Arabidopsis thaliana: one gene and its partners. The protein of the gene in region 4 interacts with the protein of the main gene of each other region in a pairwise test. Each region holds a gene or a part of one and is shown on either strand. Other genes may lie near its edges. The genes, in order: AT3G52070, AT3G10980, ERS2 and NRT1.7.

The links.
Region 1: the proteins of NRT1.7 (region 4) and AT3G52070 interact in a protein complementation assay, tested with the Arabidopsis thaliana proteins (one large-scale study listed by BioGRID).
Region 2: the proteins of NRT1.7 (region 4) and AT3G10980 interact in a protein complementation assay, tested with the Arabidopsis thaliana proteins (one large-scale study listed by BioGRID).
Region 3: the proteins of NRT1.7 (region 4) and ERS2 interact in a protein complementation assay, tested with the Arabidopsis thaliana proteins (one large-scale study listed by BioGRID).

What each region holds. Positions count from the first base shown.
Region 1 is NC_003074.8:19,310,731-19,313,765, reverse strand, and holds AT3G52070 (RNA/RNP complex-1-interacting phosphatase), read right to left. Parts: upstream 1,049-3,035; 5' UTR 1,014-1,048; coding exon 669-1,013; 3' UTR 542-668; downstream 1-541. Other genes in the region: AT3G52075 (uncharacterized protein), read left to right, coding at 346-519; AT3G52060 (core-2/I-branching beta-1,6-N-acetylglucosaminyltransferase family protein), read left to right, coding at 1,739-2,779.
Region 2 is NC_003074.8:3,436,640-3,441,847, forward strand, and holds AT3G10980 (PLAC8 family protein), read left to right. Parts: upstream 1-1,572; 5' UTR 1,573-2,170; coding exon 2,171-3,862; 3' UTR 3,863-4,660; downstream 4,661-5,208. Other genes in the region: AT3G10974 (uncharacterized protein), read left to right, coding at 549-674.
Region 3 is NC_003070.9:1,154,234-1,159,487, forward strand, and holds ERS2 (ethylene response sensor 2), read right to left. Parts: upstream 3,581-5,254; 5' UTR 3,313-3,580; intron 2,907-3,312; 5' UTR 2,893-2,906; coding exon 1,117-2,892; intron 1,045-1,116; coding exon 883-1,044; 3' UTR 531-882; downstream 1-530. UniProt on the Arabidopsis thaliana protein: Ethylene receptor related to bacterial two-component regulators. Acts as a redundant negative regulator of ethylene signaling.
Region 4 is NC_003070.9:26,314,148-26,320,748, forward strand, and holds NRT1.7 (nitrate transporter 1.7), read left to right. Parts: upstream 1-1,639; 5' UTR 1,640-2,060; coding exon 2,061-2,247; intron 2,248-2,812; coding exon 2,813-3,030; intron 3,031-4,371; coding exon 4,372-4,937; intron 4,938-5,058; coding exon 5,059-5,950; 3' UTR 5,951-6,086; downstream 6,087-6,601. UniProt on the Arabidopsis thaliana protein: Low-affinity proton-dependent nitrate transporter. Not involved in dipeptides transport, but has a weak glucosinolate transport activity. Involved in phloem loading and nitrate remobilization from the older leaves to other tissues.

The DNA of each region.
Region 1 (3,035 bases), on a different chromosome or scaffold from region 4:
GTTTGCTGGGAATTTAGCATATAGGAGAGATGGAAACTCTTCTTTTTCCCAATGTTCCATCTATAGCGGAATTGTTAGATGACGCTGAAGTTGTTGGATTTGATGAAACAAAGGAGGAACGTTTTTTCTTTAAGATCATTTGCTGATTCTTGTTTCCTTACCTGAACACTCCACAACCAAGCTTTTATCCCAAGCTCTTTGCTTATAGCTGACTTAGAGGTTGGATTGTACAGGGAAAAGCTCGCAGTGATATGACTATGGAGGAAAGGTTTGGTGCAGCACACAGAAGGAAAATGGATGGGGCTCTCTGTTTAAGGAGGATAAATTGGAGGAGGCCAATACGAAATGGTTAGGAATCTCTCTTTCTTTCTAACAATTACGGTCAAAGTTTTGGTTTTCAAGGCATACTCAGCGACTCTGCCCGAGGCTCTTGCATCTCCTTTCGGCTCTAAAACAAAGAGCCTTAACTGGTTGATAGTGTTATCGCAATGGTTGGTTTGCCTTTTCTGCCGGAGTTAAAGCAGATAAAGAGGTATGAGAAGCTTAACAATTCAATTATATAAGACCAAAGTGAAAGATCACAACTCTCAATTCTCCTATGTCGGAATTGAATTTCTTATCTTATTACTGATTTGTGCAGAATTTACAAGGAGGAGCTAGCTTAGCTACTACCATGAAGATTTGGGGAAGCTGAGATGTTGCCAGGAGAAGTAAGCACAAACCAATAGTTGAGAGATATAAACATAAACAGCAAAAGAGAGACTCATAAGCATCAGGTCCTTGACGTCTCCTTTCTTCTTCTCTGGCTTCAGATTCTTCCCAATCTTCCCAGCCTCTGAAATCATCCTTCTCAATGTTCTCTGGATCACTCCTTCATTCTCTTCTGGTAATTTCTGCTTCCGACAAGACATCACTCTCATAGATCTAACTCCGTGTCTGCTTGAGGCTTGTCTCTTTGTACGGTGGTTAGTGCAGAGTGGGTGGTAGTAGAAGGTGGTGGAGAGAGCCGCCATGAGAAGATGAATAGAATAATTGAAGAAAGTTTTTTGTTTTGGGAATCAAAAGTGAGCAGGAAAATATCAGAATCTTGATAGCTTAACGACAAAAATGATTTGAAAAATGGGTGGATAGATCTCATCTAACACACACACATGTAGTCACAAGGTACACGCCAATGCAAAACCAAATTGGCCGAATTTCTATTCGGTTCGTTTCAACTAATTCGGTTTGTTTCGATTTCTAAACCGAAAACCCAAATTTTTTGATCCAAACCGATTCTGAATGGCCAGGTAATCAGGTATAGTCGGAAGCATCTACAAATTCACAACAACAACACATTATGTCTGACTGGTGAGATAAATGATGACTGAGTGGATAAGCAAAGAATAAAATAATGTCATAAAGTCAACAACATGTCTCTGTGACTCTATCTCTATCCTATTATTAGATTTAATCAGATAACTTTAAAATCTGGTTGCTGAAAAAACCGTATCTCATTATTATATAAATAGAGAGAGAACAGCCCCACGTAAACAAATAGCGATAGAGCAACTGTGTCGATTGTCCCAAATAATTTTAAAAATAATTTCACGTGTCCCCATTTTGCTGACGTCATTATTCCCCTTTTTCCTTTTTATTGTCACATCAGAATTTTTTCTAACTCATTCATTTCAATCAATCTTCTTCTTCTTCTTCTTCTTCTTCCTCAGAGAAATTCTGTGTTGTTGTATACAGAGAGATGTTCTCATCTTCTACACTCGTTTATTCTCTATCTCTCTTCCTCTCTCTTTCTCTTCTCTTCTTCCTCTTCATCCTCTCACCACACATCCTTCTCTCTTCCTCTACCCTCATTTCCACCGCCGATGACCTAGACGACCTCTCTCTCTTCCACCGCGCCGTCGTCTCTTCCTCCACCAACAACAACCGTCGTCTCATCTCCCTCTCTCCAAATCCACCCCCAAAGATCGCTTTCCTCTTCCTAACAAACTCCGATCTAACCTTCTTACCTCTCTGGGAAAGCTTCTTCCAAGGTCACCAAGATCTCTACAACGTTTACATCCACGCAGATCCAACCTCCTCCGTCTCTCCTCTTCTCGATTCTTCATCAATCAACGCTAAGTTCATCCCGGCGAGAAGAACCGCACGAGCTTCTCCGACGTTAATCTCCGCCGAACGACGATTACTAGCAAACGCAATCCTCGACGATCCTAACAATCTCTATTTCGCTTTAATCTCACAACACTGTATCCCTCTCCATTCCTTCTCTTACATCCACAACCACCTCTTCTCCGATCATCATCAACAAAGCTTCATCGAGATCCTCTCCGATGAACCGTTCCTTCTGAAACGATACAACGCAAGAGGAGACGACGCGATGCTTCCTGAGATCCAGTACCAAGACTTCCGTGTTGGATCTCAGTTCTTCGTATTAGCGAAACGTCATGCTCTAATGGTGATCAAAGAGAGAAAGCTATGGAGGAAATTCAAATTACCATGCCTTGATGTTGAATCTTGTTACCCTGAAGAACATTATTTTCCGACTTTGTTGTCTCTTGAGGATCCTCAAGGATGTAGTCACTTTACACTCACACGTGTTAATTGGACCGGTAGTGTTGGTGGTCATCCTCACACGTACGATGCCTCTGAGATCTCGCCGCAGCTGATTCACTCTCTGCGGAGATCTAATTCGAGTTTAGACTATTTCTTCGCCAGAAAATTCACGCCGGAGTCATTGCAACCGCTTATGGAGATTGCAGATGCTGTGATCTTTAGGGATTGAATTCGGTGAAAGTAAATTAGGTATAACACTGAAATCTCAATGTGTAAATATGAATACAGTTTGAGAGTTTAGTTTCAATTTGCTTATCTTCTTGTTATTGTGTTCAGGTTTCAGATATCATCATAAGGAAGGTTTAGGAAGAAGCTTGTGTTGGCGCTCGAAGAAGAGTGGCTAAATAAAGATGAACTTCTGTGTGTGTGTGTGAAAATTGCTGTGTTTTTTAAGCTTTTGTGTGTCTCTAGGGAAGGTAGAGATA
Region 2 (5,208 bases), on a different chromosome or scaffold from region 4:
ATGCTTTTCCTCAAGTTAAATTTCATCAATATAGAAACATATAAATTTACTATTGTTATAGATTTTGAGATACAAATATTTAAACCAATTAGATAAAAAATCCATATAAGATTTTATCATGAATTTCTTGAAAGATCTCCAATTATTAAATGTATATTCCTAGAAAAAACTATATACAGAATAATGACTAATTTGCCACAAAATACAATTATTCTTACATATATAAATTGCATCAAAAGGGTGATAAGTTATCAATTTCAACACTGATTTACTCTTGAAATATCTCTTTCTCAATAGAACTTCCAAAGGAAATGAAGTAAGTCTCTAACATTCTCACTTTCTTTTGCCTCATAGCTCTCCTATCCCGTAAGCATTTCTTATATCTCTGAGATTTTGTTCATTTCTGTAATCTAAAACTCAATCAATAAGACTTATTACTATTTAAAACAATATTAGCATACATGACTTAAGTTAGTTTTAACGGTGTAGATATAACATTCTCAAGTGTTAGCGTGGTGGAAGGTAGAAACACGTTGGAGCATGAAGCCATGTCGCATGTGATTAACCAAAAGACTTCTCCATATGTTGTGCATCCGCAAAAGGTTCCATGCGCTGATTGCACTTGGCCATGTGATCCTGTTGTAGTTGGTGAAGGTTGTATATGTCGTTGCTAAAATTTCCGTTTCTATCATAATTTCGCCATATATAATGTGTTGGACCTTCGATAAAAATTAAATAACAATAAAATTATATTTATTATTGATTGCTCGGAGAAAGAGATATAATGATACCATGAATCTCTTTCTCATAACTACATGGTATAGGAAGTTGAAGAAAACAATATGTTGATTTGCATTTCTCCATAAAAGACTTCTCCACATGTTATGCATCCGCAAAAGCACCCATGCGCTGATTTGCACTTGCCCATGTGATCTTGTTGTATCTGGAGAATGTCATATATGTCGATGCTAAAGTTTTTTTTATTTTATCGAATATCCGCCAAAATGTATTTGGCCTTCCACAAAATAATAATTATTATTGATTATAAACTCTGAGAAGGAGACCATAATTTCTTTCTCATGACAACATTGTCATTGTTAATCATCCAAATCGATTTCACTCTATGTGTTGTACACGCATCACATGAACAATACAACATACTATGTCTCAGTGATATCGCACAGCTGAATAGCTGATCTACTTTCAAGTTAACATACAACACAAAAAAAAAAAAAAAACTATGATAGATAAGAAGAATATGGTTGGTAGTAAGAAAATGTATTTTCCCTAGATCAAATTCCAAAACTTGATACAAAAACTCTAAATTAACCACTGGATGGCTTCGATTCTGTCATTAACGTGCGAGAATCTCGGTGTAATCGAGATCATTATAAACTTAATGATATTTTATCATTCTAAGAGCTAGTCTTGGAAGGTGTGAAGACTTTATTAATCAAGTATATATAAATTATCAAAAAACACAACCCAAAAAACAGTAAGAACAATACACATCTGTAACAGCTTGTCAGTAAATTAGTAGTAATAATTAAAATCTGATAAATACTATATGCTAAAACGTTTTGTGTATCTTATTTTTGTGAGTACACTAATACAATAATGCTTTTTTTTTTCCTTTTCATGAATAAAAAAAAACGTATTGGGACAATAATGGCGGCCTGATCAACGCTAAGTTAACTGCAACCACGAGAAAAAAAGAATCCGAGACTAGTTCTTCCCCAACGACCAATCTTATGTTGCATCAATTTCACAACAGAAGCCTTACCTTTTCATTACACGCATATTGCTTCTTCAAAGTTTCCTTTTAGATAAATTCTTAGTCTGAGTAACATCTCTTTCTTGTCTTGGGGGTTTCTCTGTAATTGCAGCTGAATCGGATCTTGGGCAATTTTTAAATTCCGATTCAACGAGTTTCTCAACTAAGGGTTTGATTCCTTTTCTTTTTCATCTTTGTTTATTCAAATCTGAATACTTTGTTAGGTTTCAATGTGCTGAGAAGTAGAAGAAGCTTCGTTGGCAAGTCCGAATCTTTTCTTCTTCTTTTTTCTGGGTTTTATATTCTTTGCCAACAATGTTTAAGCTTGCAAAGCATATATTCCTTTGAGTAGCTGTTTTATTCCTACAAAGATTTGATCTTCAATAGAGAGAGATAATGGGATCTAATTGTGATGGGAATTTGAAAGCAGAGATTGAAGAATCTAATGGTTCTTCTGGCAAAAATACTAAGGTTCCTCCTTGTCCTCTTGATGTTTCTACATCTAGAAGAACTTTGATTGGTGATGGTAAACCTAGGAGATGGTCTATTAGTGCTTTACCTGATGCTTCTAGTAGATTCCAGCTTCTCAAATTTGGTTCTCCTTCTGCTAAGTTCAAGAAAATGGCTGAGGATAGAGACGAGGTTTCACGGTCAGTGACTAGCTCAAGTAACGGAAGCAGTCATAATTTCAGGGAAAGAATCAGTGGCGTGCTTCACCGGAAAATAGATTGGAGTTCTCTGATGAATATGGGGAAAGAATGGATTAGGAATCCTATTAACATGGCTTTATTCGTTTGGATACTTGTTGTTGCAGTCTCTGGTGCTATTCTCTTCATGGTTATGACTGGTATGTTGAATCATGCTTTGCCTAAGAAGTCACAGAGAGATGCTTGGTTTGAAGTTAACAATCAGATTCTTAATGGCTTGTTTACTTTGATGTGTCTTTATCAACATCCCAAACGGTTTTATCACTTAGTGCTTCTTTGTAGATGGAAGCATGATGATATTACTAAGCTTAGGAAAGCTTATTGCAAGGATGGGACTTATAAGCCTAATGAATGGATGCACATTATGGTTGTTGTCATTTTGCTTCACTTGAATTGTTTTGCTCAGTACGCGCTTTGTGGTCTTAATGTTGGATACAGGAGATCAGAGAGACCTCCCATTGGAGTTGCTATATGTATCTCTGCTGCCATTGGAGCTCCTGCGGTTGCGGGTTTGTACACTATACTAAGTCCACTTGGGAAAGATTATAATGATTCTAATGAAGACGAGGAGAATCAACTGAAGCAACGTGAAGAAGGGTCTGTTAATCGTCGGTTTACTTTAGAGAGGAGGTATTCGTTTGCCTCTGCTTCCACGGGGGTTGGGGATGGGATGGTTCCGGTGAGTGATCCTCAGTGGAGTGGTGGAATTTTGGATATTTGGGATGATATTTCATTGGCTTATCTTTCTCTTTTCTGCACTTTCTGTGTCTTTGGATGGAACATGGAGAGAGTTGGGTTTGGGAACATGTATGTTCACATAGCTACGTTTATTCTCTTCTGTTTGGCACCTTTCTTTATATTCAACTTAGCTGCGGTTAATATCGATAATGAGACGGTCAGGGAGGCGTTAGGGATATCTGGAATCCTTCTTTGTGTGTTTGGTTTGCTCTATGGTGGATTCTGGAGAATTCAGATGAGGAAAAGATTCAAATTACCGAGTTATAATTTCTGTTTCGGTAGAGCCGCGATTGCTGATTGTGCGCTCTGGTTATGTTGTTGTTGGTGCTCTTTAGCACAAGAAGTTAGGACTGCAAACTCTTATGAGATAGTGGAAGACAAATTCTGCCAAAGAAAAGAAGAGAAGAATATGGTATCTCCGAATTTGGTATCACCTTTGCCTCGTGAAGACGGTGTGTTTGATCCTCGGTTTGGTCTCGGGAGCTCCCCTAAGAACATAAGTGGAGCTAGTTCTCCTAGCCCGAGCAGGTTTTGGAAAGAGGCACATAGCCCAAATGTACAGACACCTAGAGAGAAAGAAGAGGTTAAAAGCGATGTTGCTCTGACTCCACCTTCTCCTCTGTCTATACACCGAGAAGCTTGATTTGTAAAACCATGGAAATCCGAGTCCACTGGTAACCCTCCTTTCCTTTCTCTTTAGATGTTGTATGAATATGATTTGAGGACAACTTTTGAATACAAGTCTCTTTGAGTGTTTTACAAAAAAAATTATGAAGCTGGTTTCTTCATGTGAGTTGTATACAATTTCAGTTTCTGGTTTAGAGAACTTTCACGGCTTCTTCTGTAATGTAAATTTGTCTGTCATGCTTCAGTGAGACTTTGAGTGATCTATGTACCTTTGCAGGCTTTGCTTTTTTACTTCTAATTCATGATTCGAACCAGATGGTTGGAGAAGTTGTTGGCTTTTGAGGTTAAGTAGTAAGAACCATAGGAGATTTTGAGTCAGTCATATTCACAATTCTTTATTTTGCTTGGTTTTCTGGTCCGGTTTGGGGTTCAAATTCTCAAGTCTCAGTGGATTACATAAGGGATCACAGTGTATCTATAAACCCACGTATCGCTAATGGTGATCTACACCTGATTTAGATAGAGGAGACTCCACAATGTTAACAAATAATATAAAACTATAGTGCTATTAGTGAAAATGATACCACAAGTTGTCATTAGCAGAGAAAGATCAGTATCAATATCCAATATAGGAATGAAGCGTCACTGTCTTAAAGAGTCATTATCGTGGAGAACCACATCACTAATCCACTTATGTGTAGTTAGTTGTTTGTAATCAACTTTTTGTATTTTCTTGTGTAATCCAACTTTTGATGTATTAGTTTAAGCTGTATTACTTTTAAAAGCTTGCCTTTATTTTCCTTGTGAAATTCTGCATAAATATCAAAAGAGATTTATGACAAAACAATGTTGCTTTTTCATCATTAACGGTTGTGGTATTTTAGCCAATCAAATTCTTTAGTTTCTAATTTTAAAGTTGTGTTTAAAAACAAAAATGTACCACTATCGTCGACATAAGAAAAAAGTATCTAAGCTTAAAACGCTAACATTCATACCAATTTAAATTTATATCATTCCAAAGTTCTTCAAAATCCCTTAGTCTCTCTATTTCAATATGTACGTATAAAAATGTATTATAAGACATCGAAACGTGTCATGTGTACACTGAAGTCGCAGGACTAGAAGGAGCTAATAGGTGGCCATGGTGCTCTACGTGGACTCTCTGTGTGACACGTGTCAAAGTGATTATGCATCTTTCAAACTTCTGTGATAGGTTGGTTGGCCCGACCAAGACGACCAACATACTCGTTGAACACGTTTCGTTGCATATTTCTGTATTCATCTGTATTAATACTAATAAGAAACCATTTCTGTTTGACTGTATTAATGAATAATGATTCCTGAAGATTTTAAATTATTTCT
Region 3 (5,254 bases), about 25 Mb from region 4:
ACAAAAAAAAATCAGCCGAAAAATTAGAGGGCGGCGAAGCAATATATCATTTCAATCAGCTAAAATATCCAGAGAAACCTCATAATTTCATCAAAGACATCGGAAAACAAAACAAAGCCCAGATGAAATCAACGATCGGGGAAAATCAAAATCGGTGTGGTATCAAAATGAAAGACTGTAATCGGAACATAAAGCCTCGCAAAATCCGAAGAACAAAGGAGGAGATATAGAAGAAGCTTATTGGTTGTAGATCGAAGCGAACCTGAGATGGTGGAAGAAAGAGCAAAGAGAAGCTAATTCGTTGAATGGGCTAATGGCAGCTCCTATGAGATTCTACAGAGAGAGAACAAACCAAAAAAGACGACGGAGGAAAAGAAAGAGAGATAAATAGAGAGAAAGAGAGGTCGCACGAATCACCTCAATGTTAAAAAAAAAAAATCACATAAACCTTTTAAAAACAAAAGTTAATTAAAAGGTCGAAGTTAATATGTACCTGGATACATATTGTGGATACAAGTTGTATACGGTTTCTGGATCAGAAATCAATAAATTTATAAGCTTCATCTAAAACGTCACAATATTTGACAAAGGAGTTGGTAGGCTTGTAAATCACAAATCCGTAAGGAACATCCTCCGACACATTTTTTTACTTTGAATTCTGTTATCACCAGCAAGTTACAACAAGTCTGCATCATACCTTTTGCCTACACGATAGGTTAAAACCTAGTTAACTTTCAGGTTTTTACAACCGAACGACAACGTTTTAGTACTCTCTCTGTTAATCTCATTAAAGCCCCTACTGTTTTTACAAATTCTCAGATTCCACCCCTTAAATCTTTCTTTTGCACTACATTCCCCTCCCCCCCTTCCTGACGTCAATGATCAGTGGCTAGTAGACGGAGGAGTTGAGGTTCTAAACGTTTCTCCAGAATATCCACCGCCTCTCGACATCATCGATCGCCGGAGTTGAAACCGGAAAACAACTGAGACGCTTTTCACCAAACCTAGACCGTCCTCAACAACCCGAATATTCCCTTGCATATACTGTCACAAAACAAGATAAAAGTGTTAAACCAAGTCATTAGCACATTTACATACAAAACACAAATGACCAACCTTTACAATGTTTTGGCAAGCGTTGAGACTCGGATTCTCTTCCTCCTCCTCCAGGTTACTACCACTACTACTACTACTACTCTCTTCACCTTCAGCAGTTACCTCGAATCCGAATCTAACTTCCATGTATTCTTTCGAATAGCAATGTCGCCAAACCGCTTCTTGAATATCTTTCCTCTCTGATACGTCTGAGTTCCCGCTTTCCGGAAAAACCCAGAAAGTCACATTCCCTTTGATCTTTCGATTCATTAGAACCCCAAGCATATGCAAAATCGCTTGAAAGACCTTTCTATCATCACCTACGACGTAGTCAGGCAATGCTCTATAAACTTCAGCTGAGAAACCAAAACCATTTGCCATGCATAAACACCTCGCCACGCAAGCTGACTCTTTCACAACCGAATGCAAACTGAAATAATGAGTCTCTGCAGCGCGGATTGTCCCATTGTTTATATCTCCGGCATTGTTTACAAGCTGTACAAGTAACTCGCTGGTTCTCCTCATTGCATCAACGATAACAGTCTGGTTCTCGGGTAACTTCCCATCCTGAAGTATCAAAGGAAGCAACCCGAGAATGGACCGCACAGGACACCTCATTGCATCGCTCATCATCTGCTCGAACGCAGCCTTGGCTTGATTAGCTCTCAGTGCGTTCTCCCTCGCAACCTGAAGCGCTCGGTTCTGTTCAGCGAGTTTCTCTCTCATAAGCTGAGATTCTTCAAGAATCACGGCGTGAGAGATTGCAACCGCCACTTGATCAGCCACCACCTTAACAATCTCAAGCTCTTGATAAGTCCAAGCCTGCGGCTGTCTCAATGGAAGCACACACACCAATATCGCATAACACATGTGAATCGCCTCTGGTGTCCCGCCTTTAAAGTTACAAACCCGAAGCATAGGGACTCTTATCCCAACCGTAGGACCTGACTTCCCTCGGCTAGTCACTGAGGCAAGCACAGAACCAGGGCTCAACATATTCACCTCTTCGCTTCTCTTAATCCTCACAACATCAGACTCACTAATCGGTATCGAGAACCCAGCATAACCACCAAAATGCTCATTCTCATTCTCATCATCAATCCTCGGTCTTAACTCATGAGTAAGATTCATCTCCGTCTTGATCTCATTCGGGATCCAAACCGCACAGTTCTTGAGCCCCAGAGTCTTGGACAACTCCACAAGCGTAGTGTATAGAATGGTGTGTCGATCAAGAGACGTCCTAATCTTGGTAGTGAGCATACGAACATGCAAACTCGTCTCAGTCTGCTTCATAATGATCCCAACCTCACGATCAAGCTCTCTGGTCTTCTTACTCAACATAAACTCACGAACCTTAGCCTTAAGAAGCAATGGTAAGAGAGTGACTAACGAGAGTGCCGTGAGGAAAGAGACGATACCAGTCAGCATCTTGAAGACAGTGACAGCTGTCATGACCCAAGGCCAGTGAGGCCCGTAGGTGAAACCAGCGAGCAAATGGGTCATGCCGCAGAGAACAATGAAGGCTATAAACTCGCAGACCACCCAATTGTAAGGTGAAGGCACATTGGTGCGGCTCACGAAGTAAACCAGCTCGATTGGGATCGAGAAATAAGCGATTGCGATAAGAAAGTCGCCGACTTTTTGCGAGTTGAGGATTGTCTCGTAGCTAAAGAGACTGTCTTCGTCGTCGCAGTTGCATAACGACAAGCTACCGTCGTCTTCTGCGGCGGTGACGACGGAACCGATTAAGAAGAAGAAGAAGAAGACAAGCCATTGGACTAACAATGTCTTTAACATCGATTACTGTTTCCCTGAGTAAGAATTAATTAAAAAGGTGAGATTTTTATTCATACCCAGAACTCAAAATCGAGATTTTTCAATTCAATATGCGTAACGTTTGGATTTTGTATACCCAGAATTGTGCAATTACCTATGAACATAGTGAAAATCAAAATCAGAAAAAGATTCAAAATTCAAAACTTGTTCAAGGAGAGAGTAAAGTTAATGTCTTTTAGATTATAAATCTTTTTCACAACAAGGACCGAATTTGTAAATTAATTTTCTTTTAATCCCCTAAATGTATGAAGTTATGAACCACCCACAAGAACAAACATCAAAATCTACCGATTCCTCACAAAATCCGCAGAAAATTCAAAATCAGATGAGAAATAGCGAAAAGGAACATCAAACCCATCTCACATTTGAGAAATCATATACCTGCAACGTAGTGATCAGCCAAAAATCTCTTTTCCAGAAAACGTAAAAGCTGTAGAAGAAGAAGAAGAAGAAGTCTAAACGATTGTTGAATCTTACGAAACTCACCAGAATGTGTAGAGAGAGAGACAAGTTAGGGAAGTAAATATGTGTGTGAGCAGAGTCTCTCGCTCTCTCTTTTTCTGTGTCTGCTGCGATAGAGAGAGTAGATTTACGTTTTGGTGAGAGAGAGAGAGAGAGAGAGAGAGAGAGGGAGGAATTGGGGGGAGAGTGAAGAAGGAAAGGGGGGTGGGACCCAGAAACGGTACATGAAGAGAACATAGACGCTTTTCGTTTGGAACACAACACGAGCACGACATCTTCTTCTTCTTCTTCTTGACCTACGTGGACTCTTACCAAATTCAATTTTAGAGGATTCTTCTTCTTTTTTTAATCTTTCCTTTTCAGCTTTATTAATTAATGACTCTATTTTCAAGATTTATGACTCTTAATACCTATCCCAAATTTTATTCTGCTTTTGGATTACAATAAACAACCTATAATAATATATATATATATTTATATTTCTATTATTTTATGTATAAAAATAAATCTATTCTTTTTAATGTTTAAAAATTAGTTAATTATATTAAATAAATGTTTTATTTCTATTATGGATGATTACATTGGTTTTTTAGAAAGTGAGATTACATGACCAAATAGTAGTATAAGTTTACATTAAAACCAAAAAATTGCATTAAACAATGATAACTACTAGACTATGCAAGTATGAAGTCTACTCACTAAATATCTAAGTTAAAAATAGTATTGACTTAAACGGCACAATTTGCGGCTGATTTGATAACATAATGAGTTAGTTTATTCGACTGACTTAAGATATTTGGTAGATAATTAAATATGCAATGCTATTTTTCGTTTGTAAAACGTTATATTGACCTACCTTGCTACTTATTAGACATGATTTAGTTAAACACTCCATCTTTGTTTTTCTACTCAATAATAACAATACCGAATCAAATTTCTTTGTGGGTCTACCGCCACTTAACTCTTATCAGAAAATGGAGTCTTAACTAAGTGCATGATCATCTCTTTGGATCCCAATATCACTAAATTATCGATCGTACTACTAATTTTTCTTGGCAATTTTATCATTTTATTGGTAATATTTCCCTTTCAAGAAATCAATATGATCAACCACTAACTTTTCTTTGTAAACCGCAAATTTAGAAAAATATATACACATGAAAATCCGTATATTTTGATTGCCCTATTGAAATTTAGTACAAGTAATATATAAACTAGCTACATAACCTCGACAATAACGAACACTTATCAGATTTAGAAGACAAAACTAACAGCAATCTTGCTATATCGGTTTGAATTTTATGTTTTTGTTTATTAATATGAATTTGATCTTAGTGGATGCACTAGGAACATTTTATGGTCAAGGTTTTATACCAATATAAATCTTTTAAATAAATAACCAGTGGTCTAGTGGTAGAATAGTACCCTGCCACGGTACAGACCCGGGTTCGATTCCCGGCTGGTGCAGATTGTATTTTTTTCCTGTTATACAGGTTTTTTCGCTTTTTTCTTTTTCTTTTTTTCTGAATCCAATGCTATTATTGGCCACGTGTCGAGCGATGAACACGTGCTGATTCCTTTCCTTTTCTGTCTACATTCTCGTCACTATTACAAAACAAATGTCTTCTCCTTTTAAAGAAATCACTGGTAAGAATGCATGCATCATAAAACTTTTATCAAAGAAATAGAAATAGTGCATGCACCTTTGCCACTTAAGCCAATATATATGCAAATCAAAACAGATGTACACAGAATCATTTTTACTTTTTTTGCATGAGACCACATACATATACAGTATAATCTTTTGTCTGTAAAGGCAATCCAGTACAAGACTAGCTAATGTTTGATAGACGTTTCATTT
Region 4 (6,601 bases):
TCTAAGAGTTGGAGTTATCTATCAAACTCCATATACATTTTTCGTTATTCGATCATGACCATTAAAATGCATATGTTTGATAGTGACCCGCACCACACAGCTCAGCATATTGAGACAGATTAGTAAAAGCAGTCCAAACCTTAGGCACCCAGTCCACGGTTCATATCATCTGACCATTGAGAATGGTGAAGAGAGATAAGATGATCGAACGGTGTACAATAATATGACCATAAAATCGAACGGTGATACGGTATAGGATCCCACGTAAAGGTCCAAACAAAAAAAAATTAATAAAGAAGAAAAGACAAAGAGGGTTTGCGTAGAAATTTGATGGCTCGCGCATGCGACAGTGTTAGGCACTTGCATTTGCCTAAAAGGCGATAAAAGCCTACCTCATCTTATCGTATTTCTCTTTCTGTTTCTGTCTTCACTCACCGATTTTTATGTTTGTGTTCAATTTGAATTTTACAAGTTTGGTTGGACTTAATCTTTCCTTTAACATAAACATTCAATGATAATTTTATTATTAATGTTCATTTCTTGTGAAGATTTTCATTGTTTCTATATATAATATATATTTTACATTGAGAAAAAAAAATGATGCGAATTGTTTTGAAGTTGAAGTGGTTGATTAATATTTTTTTCTACAATAAATCAATGAAAATTTAGAATTGAAAAATATCTAGACATGGAATTTCTCAACTCAACATCTAGATAAACATATGTACCACACATTCGAGCAATCGTATAAAATTATATACGAATAAATAGAATTAGTTTCTTTCTCGGAAATTCTGTTAATATTTTTAGGAGGATTAAGTGGGTTCGAAATTTAATCACTTCCTGCACAAATTCATCTCAATGTATTAATTGGTGATATGTCATTTTTTTATTTTATTTTTTGGTATGAGCTTCCAAAGTTTTAAGGCCAGCTCTATATGTGTACTATTGTTTCTAACTTTATTATATTAAATTTTGGTGATATGTGTTTCTTTGTTTGATTGCAACCCAAAATAGTTTAAGGTTCATCTTAGAGTGCGATGACTTTTTGTGCAAAAATATTAGATCATGTTGGTATGTACGTTTTGAGTTTTATTTATTTGTTTACCAATTGAACGACTCTCAACAAGCAATTGTATGCCAAGATGACATATTGGACGTTTCAAGTGTGTGAATTGTATAAAGCAGTAAATAAAATCTACTCTTATTAACTAGTTTGAAAGAGAGTTTTAACTTCGAAGAATCTATCGCCATGAGTCAAAATCGTATAAATGTGACAAATGTTTATCTCTATCAATAATAGTAAAAATTTTAAAAGGTTCTATATAAATTTTAAGATTTTGTCAGGATCATTAAAGTGTAGAACTAAGTCAACTGATTGATTAATAGAAAAAATCGATACAATCTCACTTCCTTTAAGAAAATAAAAATAAAATATGCTTTAGAGAAAATAAAATCTCGCTTATTTATGAGATATCATATCATTTTTAGGTAAAAAAGATTAGATGTCCTTTTGAGACACATCATACCATATATATGACCGACAACACACATAAAACCGCGTGAACAAAAAATATCATCCATCAACCCCTTACGATGCAAATGTACTGTAAAAGATGGTTCATTAATTTAACATCGTATTTTAACGTTACAATTGTATGGAACATGGAAGGTTCACAATACGTGGAACAAAACAATAATGTTACGTACGGTGTAAGAAAAACAAAAAAAACATAGCACTAAAATAGTTTTCTTTTAATTTTCCTCTTCAAACTTCTCACGTGGAGGCTACTAGTGGCGAACGTCATTCAAATTTACCCACACCCACCATATATTATCTACTCACTCCCTTATATATACACACTTCCACAAATAATTCACTACACCCAAAAAAGCTTCTAACAAAGAGAAAGTGTCTGTATGTTGTGCCCACTCTCTACATTTATCAATCACTTCATGTGTGTTACCTTGATTGCAAAAAAGTGAGAATATATTCTCACAACATTAAATCCACCCCGAAATCGAAGTGAGTATATCACGAGTGTAGTAATATCTTAGAGATGGTTTTGGAGGATAGAAAGGACGGTTCTTCTTTGCCGGGACGATCCGGTAGTTTCTCTAAATCGTCACCGTCGGAGTTGGATGTTGTTGATCCCTACAAGCGGATAAGTTCGCCGGGATCTATATTGGATGCTGAGAAGGTAGAGAAAAAGCCTGGAGGATGGAGAGCCGTCTCGTTCATTTTAGGTATTTTAATTTTATTTTTAGGCTTCGTGTACATAATTTAGTTTACCTAATCCTTGACCTTTCCTCAGTTATTGGCTAATATTTTTTTGTTAATTTCCTTAATTGGATATATAGTTCTAGAAACCAGTTAATATATTATCATTGGGAGATGTAACGGGCCGTTGCAAGATCACGTTCTGCCTAAATCATTGCACATAATAGTCAGAACAAAAGAAATGAGCGCATAATCTTTTCAGCTCGATCAAAAATTATATTATATATTACTCTCGTAACCGTCGGTCCAACATGTTTGACACTCGTCTAGCTGACGACTTTATAACTGAAATGGAATAAAAATTTGTCATCATAAGTGCTCTTTTAGCCAAAATGTTAACTTTCATTTTAAATTATTTTATACTTTTAAATTTTTATAATATTTTATTTCTCTCTATTTAATGGAATATGATTAATTTTGTTAGTGATGATAATTACTAGATAAAATGGAGTATAATTGATATTCTTCAATAGAGGGATTATTTGTCGATTTATTTGCTGATAATATTTTGTAATAAAATGGGTTGAATAGGAAATGAGACGCTGGAGAGACTGGGATCGATAGGATTGTTGGCAAACTTCATGGTTTATCTAACCAAAGTGTTTCACTTAGAACAAGTCGACGCTGCAAATGTCATCAACATTTGGTCAGGTTTCACCAATCTCACTCCTCTCGTCGGAGCGTATATCTCAGACACTTATGTTGGCCGCTTCAAGACCATCGCTTTCGCCTCATTCGCCACTCTCCTCGTACGTATAATATTTTTTTATTTAACTTATTGAAAATTTTATATAATCTTTTTAAAAAACTAAAATAAAAATAAATAATCTAATGTGTCTACAAATACACAACATTTACGTACGTAGTAGTATTTACTTTATATGTTCCTAACACCTCAAATCCGCAACTATTCGCGGCCTACTGCCAGCATGGGTCAGTGCTTTAGCGTCCACTGTTCGAATAGTTGCATCCAACAAAAAACATAACAACTCTAAATAGAAAGTTCTATATTACTACTCAATTTACGTGTTTTTTTGTGTGTGTGGCGACGATACATGATACTTGGCACATAATTTCACCCCGCACGTGGACATGATAAGAAAATACGTATAGACAAATTAAATTAAGTATATATATATGTAAATGACAAAGTATTAACACTTTATATATTATTTTATACCTATTATGTTACTCTCTTTTTTTCTATATCAAAAGCTATTAAATTACTTTTGTATCGTACGAAAACGCATGAACTTATTGAGGGACCACGCTATCGAGGACGATAAGGTCGGTCAATAATGTGAATCATAAGAACAAAAGCATTAGTTAGTACACTTATTCTTGTCGGTATTTACCTTGAAAATTTATATAACATCCAAAAAAAATGGTAAGAAAATACTTATCTCACGTAAACATCTTTTGTTCATTGATGAAACATTTTCCAATAAAGGAGTTACGTATTAGAACGTGTTCTGTTTAAGAGATAAAGAGATGTGCGTAGAAAAGGAAGAGATACGCAAGTGGTCAATATAGATTATTGACAATGAGATTGTCCAATAATTGAGTGTTTGAGTTTCTTGATGATTTAGCTAGCTAGTTGGGTTTTAGATTTGGTCAGTATCACAGTGACGTTACGTATATAATAATAGTTACTTTTCTAGTGTCTGTTTCATTCACAATTATAGAATTATGATCGCATCCAACTTGTTAATTTCTCTTGCACTTTTTTGTCTTTTTCGTAATTAGTTAAACGTTGAACTTAAACTGTTACAAATGCTCATATTACTATATTAGGGTTACAACAGAAATAAATGATATTAGGTTCTACGTCACTGTCACTTTCACCTAATCAAGGTAACATCACTTTTCAATCATATGAAGTCAAACCTAATTAAGACTATTGTAAACTTTATTAATTGTTTGTATTTGTTCGCATAACTTCAATCTATATATCCCACACTACTGTTTGCTTTCTTCAATATTAATTAACAATCATTCAGTTTCAAGTTATATATTATAGAATATCTAATAATGAAGAATCGGTTTCAAAATTAATAATGACTGATTATAATTACATTGACAACATGCAGGGACTAATAACAATTACACTCACAGCATCGTTTCCTCAACTCCACCCAGCATCATGCAACAGCCAGGACCCACTCAGTTGCGGCGGTCCGAATAAGCTCCAGATCGGAGTTTTGCTATTGGGACTCTGTTTCCTCTCCGTAGGGAGTGGAGGAATACGACCTTGTAGCATCCCTTTTGGGGTTGATCAGTTTGACCAACGAACTGAGGAAGGGGTTAAAGGAGTGGCCAGTTTCTTCAACTGGTATTACATGACTTTCACTGTGGTTCTGATCATTACACAGACCGTAGTTGTGTATATCCAGGATCAAGTCAGTTGGATTATCGGTTTTAGTATCCCTACCGGACTCATGGCTCTTGCGGTTGTTATGTTTTTTGCCGGAATGAAGCGTTATGTCTACGTTAAACCAGAAGGAAGTATATTCTCTGGGATCGCTCAAGTTATCGTGGCAGCTCGTAAGAAGCGAAAGCTGAAACTTCCGGCGGAAGATGACGGCACTGTCACCTATTACGACCCAGCCATCAAGTCTAGCGTGTTATCCAAGTTACACCGCAGTAACCAATTCAGGTACTTAATATATGATTTTTGTTTTTATTTTTTGCTTATCACTTTCAAGGTGGTTTTAAGACAACACTGATTACATGATTTTGTATTAACCTATAGTCTAACTGAAATGGCATAAAATTAGGTGTCTTGACAAAGCCGCGGTGGTTATAGAAGGTGACCTAACACCCGAGGGACCTCCCGCAGACAAGTGGCGGTTATGCAGCGTCCAAGAAGTGGAAGAAGTGAAGTGTTTGATCCGAATTGTTCCTATCTGGTCGGCCGGAATAATCTCACTCGCGGCCATGACAACACAAGGCACTTTCACGGTCTCTCAAGCTTTGAAAATGGATCGAAACTTAGGTCCTAAATTCGAGATTCCGGCTGGTTCACTCTCCGTCATCTCTCTCCTCACAATCGGCATCTTTCTTCCCTTCTACGACCGCGTTTTTGTACCATTCATGCGGCGAATCACCGGCCATAAATCCGGAATCACACTCCTCCAAAGGATAGGAACAGGGATCGTTTTCGCGATCTTTTCTATGATCGTTGCGGGCATTGTGGAGCGTATGAGACGCATACGCTCCATCAATGCCGGAGATCCAACGGGAATGACTCCAATGTCGGTGTTTTGGCTTTCGCCGCAGCTAATTCTCATGGGACTATGTGAAGCATTCAATATCATCGGACAAATTGAGTTCTTCAACAGTCAGTTTCCAGAGCACATGAGAAGTATCGCTAACTCTCTCTTCTCTTTATCGTTCGCCGGTTCGAGCTACCTTAGTAGTTTCCTTGTGACTGTCGTTCATAAATTCTCCGGTGGGCATGATCGTCCGGATTGGCTAAACAAGAATCTCAACGCGGGAAAATTGGATTACTTCTATTATCTGATTGCGGTTTTGGGTGTGGTTAATCTGGTTTACTTTTGGTATTGTGCTCGGGGATACCGGTACAAGGTCGGTTTACCGATTGAAGACTTTGAGGAGGACAAGTCCTCCGATGATGTTGAGATGACTTCGAAGAAATCGATGAAATGATTTAATAGACTATCCTTAGGGACAACAAGAAGATTGTCGATGTTGTTTGAATAATTACTATGACAATGTATGTATCATAATATGTAAGAACTAGAATATTTAATAAAATTTTACCTTTCATTATGTAGAAGTGTTAGATATAGTTCACAGTTTTGTCTTATTTTATAACTTTGTCATCATACTCTCTGCCTGGAATCAGAAAACCATCTCTAACAAGTATATTTAAAATCATAAAAGTAATCTAGTTAGATGGATTGCATTTGGAACTATATCATATACACTATGTTATGACTTGATAGAAATATAAACAGTATAGTTTTAATTGATCATTTCTATGGAGGATCACGTTATTAGGCATAGTTTCATCCTTTATCGATTACGGACGGTAAATGAGTACAACCCAACTAATATGTTGTAAAGAAAAGCTACTACTGCTATTACTGTTAATATTAATATTAGACTTCTTGGGTACATAAAAAAAAAAAAAATATATATATATATATATATCATATTAGACTTCTAGAACACCAAGTCCAAAACATATTTGGCATGAAGCAAAAATATCTACTGCTTTATTTTGTGTCTACCTCTTTGCCACATGCTGTATATTCCATCATTCATTTAACCTACAATTGAATTCCGTTTTAACGT